Rattus norvegicus: one gene and its partners. The protein of the gene in region 1 purifies or fractionates together with the protein of each later gene. This does not show direct contact. Links are inferred from orthologs where the notes say so. Each region holds a gene or a part of one and is shown in the gene's direction. Other genes may lie near its edges.

Region 1 (3,655 bases):
AAATCATTACTACAGTAGCTTGTAAGAGGTAGAGTTGCCTCTTCATAAGATGTCAATACATACCGCTGATGCTGACATCTATTTAGAGCCTGGTCAGCTGATTCCTACGGGCATACAAATCAGTTGCCTTTGAGTTTGTAAAATGCATGTATCTGGTTAGCTTACTTTATAATCTGTATGAAATACAGTATCCAGCATTAAAGTTTTAAGCATATCTTAAAAGAAGGCTTGGGTAATTAAAGGTTAAATTCTTATGACTAAAATCTAACAGTTCTCTGCAGTGGTGTATTTCTCAACATACTCCTCCCATGATTTCTTGACCCTCTCTTTAGCTCTTCACCTTTGTGGAGTTGTTCTATGGAGTGCTCACCAACAGTCTGGGCCTGATCTCAGACGGATTCCACATGCTCTTTGACTGCTCCGCCTTGGTCATGGGACTGTTTGCTGCCCTGGTGAGCAGATGGAAAGCCACCCGGATTTTCTCCTACGGGTAGGTGCTGTCAGGGCACTGTTCCCTTAATACAGTCAGAAACAGAGTCGTGTACTTCCAGTACAGATCATTCCAAGTCTTCGCTTTTACTTGATTTGAAGTTGACAGGGAGTGTGAGCCGCGCATTTGATTAATACTGAGTGGCAGTCAGCCCAGGATTATTCTTCCTAACCCCTAAACCACTTTAAACCACCTAAAATGTCTGCATTTTTGTTCACCATGTTTCTTTGGGGTCATAAAATATTCATAGCTATTCATACCTTGTTAAAAGTGTTCAAAATTTGAAGTGAGTATATATGAAAATACCCTTGTATTATTGCCAATAATTCAACCAATGTCACAATCACTTCTGTGTGCAAGGTGTTTAGTAAGTCGTACCTCTAAATAAATCCACCCTATTGATTGTTTATATTTTGGAAATCTTGCATGGTTTTTGTTTTGTTTGCCTGTTGAATGTTTGGCTACACGTATGTGTGTATACCATATGCATGCCTGATGCCCACAGAGGCCAGAAGCAGCAGTCAGATCCTTGGATCCCTAAATTCTCTGCAAAACACCAAGTGCTCATAACTTCTGGCCCATCTCTTTAGACCTAATTGTTTATATTTTGAAAGGTGAGGGGGCTGGAGAGATGGCTCAGAGGTTAGGAGCACTATGTGCTCTTCCAGAGGTCCAGCAACCACATGGTGGCTCACAACCATCTGTAATGAGATCTGGTGCCCTCTTCTGGCCTGCAGGCAGAACACTGTATACATAATAAATAAATCCTTTTTTTAAAAAAGTGAATGAACCAAGTATACAAATAATTTTGGTACAGACAGAATCTGTGTGCCATGAGAGATACAGTATATATTAGAGCTTTAGAAAGAAATAGTTGCTAAAAAATTAGATAAGGCTTTTTGTAAGAGGGGCATAAAGAAGGATTTTGTAGATATAAAATTATATAATATTTTAATAGTATTTTAATCTATTTTTAATTTTGCTATTATTAGTAGTATTTTTAAATTTTGATAATTTTACATTATTATTCACTTAGTATGAAAAGCTGGGCTTGTTTCTTCACTTTTTATTATAAGTTTATAATGTTTATATTTTTAAAATACTTGTCAGTCTTTTCTAAAAACTATTATGTGTGTTTAGGTATGGCCGAATAGAAATTCTCTCTGGATTTATTAATGGACTTTTCCTGATAGTGATAGCTTTTTTTGTGTTTCTGGAGTCAGTGGCTAGACTGATTGATCCTCCGGAACTTGACACAAACATGCTGACAGTAAGTCTTCTTCTCCTGTTTAAGTGTCCACTTACTCACCCGGCTTTTCCTCACCAAGGCCTATCTAGCTGCTCTGTTGCTGTAGTATGTTTTAACTTTGTTTAAACAGTATAACTTCATTCTTGGTACACCGTCTCCTTTATGTGCTGTTTTGTCTCCTGTGATTTTGGTAACTAGTTTACCATGGTCTAGTAAATGAAAAATTCCTTAAATAAATAAATTTGAGGTTTTAAGTGACCCAGCACTTTGGAGACCGTCAGAGGACTCCGTCTGCTTTAGTGTGTTGCATTGTTACAGTGGGTCTATCTCATCACTGTTGCTAGTCTCCTACGCCTGACCTGCACTTTACCACTGGGGTGTGTGTGTGTGTGTGTGTGTGTGTGTGTGTGTGTGTGTGTGTGTGTGTGTGTGTGCCATCCATAGCTTCGGGAACACACTGAAGTCTTAAAACTTGTGCCCCAACAATAAACAAAGACTACTCTGCTTACATTGTTACTTCAGACTCTTAGAGATTAATCCTTTTCTCAAATATCTTAGACAAATATAAGGTTACATTATAAAACATACAGGTTCCTTTATAACTTAATTTTTCTTTCAAAATTTATATTTTTAAATACCTAAGGGTATTCGTACATTGTTAAAGATAAAATCAGAGAAGAATAAAAATTGTATGTTTTCCCCAATAGATTATATAACGATCATAACAACTTTTAGTTTTTCCTATCCCCAGCCCTTATGGATGTGGTTTCTTGTAGATAGTACATCCTTCCTTCACGCTGCCCTTCTGATTCCTCTGAGATTTGCTGAGTCTGTTCTGTTGGGGAGCTTGCCCTTAAGTTCAGTCTTCTCTTCCATCCTCACAGTTTCCCAGGTGCTTCCTGTCAGTCTCCCTGCCATCTCTTATCCTGCTGTATCTCCTTTAGCAGCCCTGACTTGGGCTTGCTGTCAAGTCAGTCATTCTTCCATAGTAAGATGTCTTAAGGCCCTGAGTCGTGTATCATTAAGTCTTTGATGCTGGCACTTGGATTTTCAATTATGTGTAGGGTGTTTTGCCTGCATGTATATATATATACCACATAGCATGCCTAGTGCCCATGGAGGCCAGAGAGGGCATGGGGGTCCCTTGGAATTGGAGTTATAAATGGTTGTGAGCCACCATTTAGGTCGTGGGAATTAAAACCTAGGTCCTCTGGAAGAGTAGCCAGTGCTTTTAATGGCTGAGCTAGCTCTCCAGCCCTTTGGTACTGACATATAGTAGGAAAATGAACAATTAATTCTCAAATCACTGAAAGTAATTTGGAGTTTTGGTTAACTTGTACAGTTGGATCAAGGATGTGCCTGTCTGTTTTGAGCGGGGTCTCACTAGGTAGCCCTGAAATTCACAGAGATCCACCTGCCCCTGCTTCCTGAATGCTGGGATTAGAGGCATATACCACCATGCCCAGCCAGGATTTGCCATTCTATATCATTAAATTCAAATCCTTGTACCAGTTTTTCTGGTATCTGAAAGTTAGAATGATCCTTCTAAAATACTTTATAGTTCACATCTTTAACATGATAGATTTACTTGGGAAACTTAGTGAAGTTTACTATGAATAGTTTTGGAATTCTCAGTAGAAAAGCATAGCTATGTAATAACTTCTAAATAGCACCTTTTTTCCTAAGCTTTAGAATTAAAGCTTTGCTTTTCTCCTTTTTGCTAGCCAGTGTCCATTGGAGGGCTGATAGTAAACCTTATTGGAGTCTGTGCCTTTAGTCACGCCCACAGTCATGGCCATGGGCCTTCTCAAGGACACTGCCACTCGGATCACGGCCATTCCCACCATGCTCATGGACACAGCGACCATGGTCACAGCCACGGATTCACAGGTGGAGGCATGAATGCGAACATGAGG
Region 2 (3,331 bases), on another chromosome or scaffold:
CTGAGCTGTCCATCATCACTGGGTGGTTGGTTCCTTAAGTCTCACTGGATTAGAGAAAGCAGCTTCTTTGTGAGGAAGAGTGTGGTGTCTTCCTCCCTGGGAGCCCCTCCCACTCTTAGCAGTTTTCTCCTTTATTTTTGTTCATGACAGAAGCCATCTAGGAAAGGCTAAAAGCACACAAGTGAGTGTTCTAGAGATGAGCCACCATTTTGTATAGCCTGTGCTGGGTGAGCTTTAAGAAGGCAGGGTCCTCAGAGACTTCATCCCGGGACAGCTTCGCCTTGCTGCTGCGCTGCCTTTCCTGTCACATGACAGCCTAACGATGCCTGAGCATCGGCACACACTACTGAGCAGATTCCCTCAGATGAACATGAAGATGAGCTTTCACGAATTAATGCTGTTCAGAAGAATTAATGACTTTAGAGAATTTCTGGTTTGATTCAAATCATTTTAAGGAGAAAATTTAAGGAAACGGTTTTGGTTGTTTTGCCAGAAAGTTGTAATAAAGTTAGAAGCAAGAATAGAATGTGTCCCTGCCTCACAGAATAGTAAGTAAAGGCTGAATAATAAGGAATACAGTGAGCCTTCACAATTACACTAAAAAGAGAAATGGGCTTGGGACAAATTTATAATCAAGGAAAACATTGATTCTAGGTCAGGTCCAAGGAGGAAGCCATTGGTGTATACTATGATAAAGAAAGGCCATGTGAAACTATTACTTTGAGCTTATAATGAGCTTAGAGAATGAAACACTGCTTTGAACTTATTATCAACATCCTTCTATAACTCCCCTTTTGAGTAACATTTTATCTATGAGGTAATTTTCTATAGAGTTTTGTCTAAGAAAGTATAAAAAGGCCAGAAGAAATAAGGTAGTCAGGGTTGGGGATTTAGCTCAGCGGTAGAGCGCTTGCCTAACAAGCGCAGGGCCCTGGGTTCGGTCCCCAGCTCTAAAAAAAAAAAAAGGAAAGAAAAAGAAATAAGGTAGTGGCTGGGTGGGTTCTGCCCCATCCATCCAAATGTATGTGTGTGGCATTTGGGGCTCAGTCTCATTCACCAAATATATATATATATATATATATATGTATATGTCTGTTTGTCTATATGTATGTATAGACATATATGTGTAAGTATTTGTGTATATACGTAAGTATGCATGAACACTTGTAGAATTAATGAAACATATAGTTGAGCCTGTCCAAAGTGTATGTGTATGTCTGTGAGTATTGCCTGTGTTCTAAGCCTCTCTCCTGGACAGAGAGAAGTCCTTGAGCCAGAAAGAAAAGAGCCCTAGCAGTTAGACCTTTTCCCCTTCTTCATCCCCTGCTACTTTCAGCAGGAATTTATTACCAGAAGCCAGCAGCATTAAGCCGTAGAGTAGTCAGAAACCAGCACGTATTAGCACAAAATAATAAGAGAGAGTTACAAGCTGAATCCCACCTCCTTCCATTCATTCTAAAAGCCAGGGCAGGCTCCTGGCAGGCTCAAAAACAAACAAACAAACAAACAAACAAATAAACAAAATGTGTGTGGACCTATTAATGATGTTCTTAGGCCAGTGAGACCTCTCTTCCCTAAATCATAAGACATGTCAGAAGTCAAGGCTTGTGGAAACCCATTTGTGGATGTTAGGGAGAGCATCAGAACCATTATTGCAAAGTTAATTTCTCCCTAGGCCATTCATGTTTTATTTTATTTTATTTTTTTAGACAACACCACCTCATGTTATTGGTCAGTTGGATAAACTGATTAGAGAGGTAAGTTGAAATAGTAAATAAATTATCTTTCAAAATTATGTCAGAGAAACAAAAGGGTGGGTATGTATAATATATTCAATTAGAATTTTCTTCCAGGGGAATTCTGCTAACAGAGTAGAAGCTATAACACAAGGACAAACACAGAGAAATTTCAGAAACTGCTCAGTTTAGAAGCCAAATTGACTTGAAGTAAATGTAGAAAGAAGATAACAGTCAGAAGACATCATATTAACTGAATAATCTTTCTCACTCTGACTAAAAATGAAAGTCCAAGTGTACATGTTAATCTACTGAGATTCTCAGTTTGTAGGTTATTTTCTCCTGTTAGAAAGCCCACCCACTAATGAGGAAGAACAATCGTTGGTTGGGCTATCAGTTTCGAATGACCACTTTCCCAGCACAGCTGGCTGTGTCTCACGCTGAATCCTGGCCCTGAGCATATCTTTGTTGCCTCTGTCCTCATGGCCCTGGGATTTACTCAATGGCCTTACATTCAAACAGAGGCTTGTTACTGGAAGATCCAGGGCAAAAAACAACCAGTTCGCATGTACACTCCCATACACACCTTAAAAAGAAACTTGGCACCGGAAATGACTGTCATAAATATGTTTACCTTGTTCAAAAACACCACCATAAATTGTAAAGCACTGAGCAATCTGCCGCTGACCAAGGATGGGACAGCCTGGGTCAGGACTGAACAGTCAAACAGGAGCCATCGGAGACTTCTGCTAGCCACTGCCTGTCCTTGGTCAGGGTTCAGCTGAGTTGTTTCCAGGCGACAGCCAGCCTGTACTGTGTTTGGACTACTGCATTGCTCTGTCGAATGCAGGTAACTGATAAACTTTTATGTTTGATTAGGTGTCTACCTTGGATGGGGTGTTAGAAGTCCGAAACGAACACTTTTGGACCCTTGGATTTGGCTCCTTGGTATGTCTTCTAAAAGTTAGTTTAGTATGATTTAAACATGGTTTTTAAAACTTAAATAGCATTTTGTTAAATTTTTCATGGTGGGGGCTAGAGAGTTGGTTCAGTGTTTAAGAGCATTGCTCCTGCAGAGGACCTAGCAAATAAATAAATCTTTTAAGTTTTAATCATGGAAGCTTTGGTTTTCCTTTCTGTTGAGAGGCATCTAAATATTGACAGCCTCAGTTTGAGATTGAAGCAACTTTTTTCTTCTTTTCTTCTTTTTTTATTTAATCTCAAACCTACTGGACATTTTGTTGTTGTTGTTGTTGTTGTTGTGTTGGAGGCGTGGAAATTGCATCTAAGACTTATTGCCTCATAGTTTTCCCTGTCATTAACACTCTCCTACTACATGTTTTTGCTTGTTTTTCTTGGAGACAGCATCCCATCCCACACACGAGGCTGCCCGTGAACTCACTCTTGTAGCCCGGCCAGCCTTGCCCTACAAGCCTCCTGAATACTGACAGTCTAGGCCAGCACTGTCACCTTGCTTTACATGTCCTTTTTGTTTGTTCTGTTTTTTGTTTTTTTGTTTTGTATTTTTTTTTTAAGACAGGTCACTGTATGTAGCCATGACTGTTCTGGAACTCTCTGTGTAGACCAGGCTGACC
Region 3 (3,655 bases), on another chromosome or scaffold:
ACTAACAACTTACAAAAAATTATATTTCTACTTTTTCAAATGTAGCCTTTCTTTTCCCTAACAAGTAGGAGGATAATAATAACTAAAATAGTTATGAAATATCCCTCAAATTATTTTTTCAGTAATGATATTTAAATGGTTCTTTCATTAAATATTATATTTTTGAGGAATGGTAAATCCTTAGAACCAGTATTAGCTTTTCATTTTCTTTTAGTTAGTTTGTTAAAACTTAAAACTATTCCCATTTTCTCCAACATTTAAATAAGGTTTACAGTCAGATGTCATAAGACTCTGAGTGAATTAAAGTTTTCAGGATACTTGGTAGTCATTTGGTTTACTAAGGTAACAAATGGCATAGGAAAATTAAACCCATTATTTGTGCTCTAATAGTCATAAAAAGTTCTAATCTTGACTATATTTTAATGCAAGTATGCCACAAAAAAATATGATGCAGAATTTTCTGGAGAGGACTTGTCTTCCTAGCGACTAGAAGACAAGTAACTGGGATGTGCCTACTGGTCACCTTCCAAGTTTGTGGCGTGCTGCAGAAAGCATTCCTGTGAGATGTCGCTGTCATGTGTCACATTACCCTGCTCAGAAGAGCTCAGTTGGAATGGAAACTCTGTTTGCAGCAAAGGACTTCTTGCCTCCTGGGTTTTAATCTCTTCTATTTCTAGAGTTAATCCTACTTTAGAATTAGATTGGAAGGGCTCACAGTACTGGTTGGAGCATGAAATGTAGCATGTAGTTTTATAAATTTACCATTTTCCTCTAGGCAGACAAATATAATTAAATCGTTTGTGGTTTTTCTCTCTATCAACTCCAAATCTTCCAGAACTGTAAGGAATCTTGCTGTGTCATACAGTGGAAAGTGATCTAATGCTCAAGTAATCTACCAGAGAACTTTGGATGTAAAAATGTTTTAATGTGTTTTCCAGATGTCTGTGACCTTTTGAAATTGTACCCCACCCCACTTGATTGAAATTAATGAGCAAGAGTATTTGAGTATAACTGGAGAAACTTTCTCTTACAGCAAATTATTATTGCTATAATAAAATTACTTATAGAAATCTAATTTCCACATATTACATGCTTTTGCTGGGAAGTAGTGTGTTTGTTAATAAAGAGTTATAAGCAGGATGATTTTAAAATAATTTAATTAGAATTTATTTAAAAAAACTGAACATAATTTTACTGTTATAATTTGGATGCTTCTTGATTCAGGGGGTAATAGGTGTTGAGATGAACTGGCTTAAAGTTCTATAAACAATATATTAGTATTTTGCATGCTATTTTTCTGAATATTTTCTTCCAGTGCCTACCAATTTCTCTAAATTGTATTAGTCATGGAACCCAACGTAAAATAGTGACACCGCCAAGCATATTGAAGCTGCCACCGATGATATGCTTAAACACAGTTCTCATTGACTCTGGTCTGTTTCTTTCAGAACAGTCACCACCCAGATAATGGATTATATAGACCAGATTGCGTAGTGTGGATATCATGGTAACAATACAGGAAGTATAAATTTCTCACTTCTGCAAGTAGTCATGACTACTGAAGAAGGAATCTTTTAAAATGACAGCAGAGCTCATTTGGGTACCTCTCATGGAAATCCTAATTTTGTTTTTAACTTTTGGTAACTTTTCGCTGAAGTCATGAACAAGCAAAGAGCTTGCCTTGTTAGGCAAACACACACTAGTGAGAATGTCTAGAAGAGGACCGATTCTTCACAGCCGGACCCAGTGGCTGCTGGTGGGCCTTGCTTTGCTTTTCAGTCTAGTATTATTTATGTACCTCCTGGAATGTGCCCCCCAGACTGATGGAAATGCTTCTCTCCCTGGTGTGGTTAGAGAAAATTATGGTAAAGAATATTACCAAGCCCTCCTGCAGGAGCAAGAAGAACATTACCAAACCAGGGCAACCAGTTTGAAACGCCAGATTGCCCAGCTAAAGCAAGAACTACAAGATATGAGTGAGAAGATGAGAGCCTTGCAAGAGAGGAAGAAGCTAGGGGCTAACGGCATAGGCTATCAGGGCAACAGAGAGCAGACACCCAGCGACCTCTTAGAGTTTCTTCATTCCCAGATCGACAGAGCTGAAGTCAGCATAGGGGCCAAACTACCCAGTGAGTATGGAGTCGTTCCCTTTGAAAGTTTTACTTTAATGAAAGTATTTCAGTTGGAAATGGGTCTCACGCGCCATCCTGAAGAAAAGCCAGTTAGAAAAGACAAACGAGATGAATTGGTAGAAGTTATTGAAGCTGGCTTGGAGGTCATTAATAATCCTGATGAAGATGATGAACAGGAAGATGAGGAGGGCCCCCTTGGAGAGAAACTGATATTTAATGAAAATGACTTCATAGAAGGTAATATGAAACATATGTTGGTAAGAACCATGCGAGTTGTCATCTGACCTCCATATGTGCATACAGACATGCAAATATAAAAACATTTTTAATCTTTTGATAAATTCTTATGTTAGCATGACAGCATGGTAGTAGCATATGCTAATATATCATTACTACCACAGTATTAAAGCATTTATATTTTTGTCCACTTAATATCACCAAAATTTTGAAATGGCTTTTGGACAAAGTTAAAATAAGATCATAATAAAAACAAGAATAAGAATTAGGATAACAGAGTGAGTCTAAGTCTCAGTGTAAGAATACCAGGTTGAAGGGCTCTTGTGGGCCATGTGATATTCATTCCTCTCTTATCTGGTGTTGACATTCCTCTTAGTTTTTAAAATGTATGAACTAAGGTTCAAAATTTGAAAACCACTTGATAAGGAAGGAAAAATCTAAAGCGTAGGTCAATGGTATTTTCCATTTTTAGAGAAGTAAATGGTCATGGCATCAGAGGGAATACACCATCTTACATTTGGAAATAAAGAAATAACACACTTTCATAGTACAGATTGCACAATGGATGTGAGGTCTTTCCTTTATTTATATGTGTGTGAGTGCTTTGTCCGCATGTGTGTACAGTGTTTGCAGAGACCAGAGGAAGGTATCTGATTCCTTCGCATTGGATCACAGTGCTGGGAATCAAACTTGGGTCCTCTGAGAGAGCGGCGAGTGCCCTGACCTCTGAGCGTCTCTCCAGCCCCAGGATATGCTCTCAAGTTGCTATAACTTAAAAGTCATATAAATCTTAGGTATTGGTTAATTTTTTTAAAAATAAATAAATGTGTATTCCTGTCTGTCTCCATAGTAATTAATGCCCACTGCTAGCATTTCCATTCCACTGCAAACAAAGCCATTTTGGCTATAAGTGTTTCTTAAAAGTTTGTTTTGCTGTATTCTATAAACAGCCTACCACATTCAGCATTTTGTTGGCCTCCAAACCATCATGGCTATCACTTGTATGACTTCTGAAGTCTATCAGGCAGGGATTCTGCTTTGCCCGGGCATTTTAGCCATCTTCTTCCTATGGCCTCTTTTTAGTCAAGATAGTTTTTGTTAGTTGCTTCTCTCAAAATTCTCCAACTTTCTGGAGCACTTAGTTTCTTTTTTTTTTTTTTTTCTTTTTTTTTTTCGGAGCTGGGGACCGAACCCAGGGCCTTGCGCTTCTAGGCAAGTGCTCTACCACTGAGCTAAATCCCCAACCCCTGAGCATTTAGTTTCTTATTTCACAGCACAATTGAAAG

Evidence for each region.
Region 2: the proteins of Slc30a5 (region 1) and Slc30a6 purify together in Homo sapiens (co-immunoprecipitation; 5 studies listed by BioGRID and IntAct, with this or other methods). This does not show direct contact. The link is inferred for Rattus norvegicus from reciprocal best matches to the Homo sapiens genes SLC30A5 and SLC30A6.
Region 3: the proteins of Slc30a5 (region 1) and Csgalnact2 purify together in Homo sapiens (co-immunoprecipitation; 3 studies listed by BioGRID and IntAct, counting the BioPlex papers as one, with this or other methods). This does not show direct contact. The link is inferred for Rattus norvegicus from reciprocal best matches to the Homo sapiens genes SLC30A5 and CSGALNACT2.

Annotation. Positions count from the first base shown.
Region 1 is NC_086020.1:33,685,760-33,689,414, reverse strand, and holds part of Slc30a5 (proton-coupled zinc antiporter SLC30A5), read left to right. Parts: intron 1-332; coding exon 333-490; intron 491-1,630; coding exon 1,631-1,760; intron 1,761-3,463; coding exon 3,464-3,655. UniProt on the Homo sapiens protein: Together with SLC30A6 forms a functional proton-coupled zinc ion antiporter mediating zinc entry into the lumen of organelles along the secretory pathway.
Region 2 is NC_086024.1:26,775,402-26,778,732, reverse strand, and holds part of Slc30a6 (zinc transporter 6), read left to right. Parts: intron 1-1,709; coding exon 1,710-1,757; intron 1,758-2,615; coding exon 2,616-2,684; intron 2,685-3,331. UniProt on the Homo sapiens protein: Has probably no intrinsic transporter activity but together with SLC30A5 forms a functional zinc ion:proton antiporter heterodimer, mediating zinc entry into the lumen of organelles along the secretory pathway.
Region 3 is NC_086022.1:152,971,148-152,974,802, reverse strand, and holds part of Csgalnact2 (chondroitin sulfate N-acetylgalactosaminyltransferase 2), read left to right. Parts: intron 1-1,448; 5' UTR 1,449-1,708; coding exon 1,709-2,369; intron 2,370-3,655. UniProt on the Homo sapiens protein: Transfers 1,4-N-acetylgalactosamine (GalNAc) from UDP-GalNAc to the non-reducing end of glucuronic acid (GlcUA). Required for addition of the first GalNAc to the core tetrasaccharide linker and for elongation of chondroitin chains.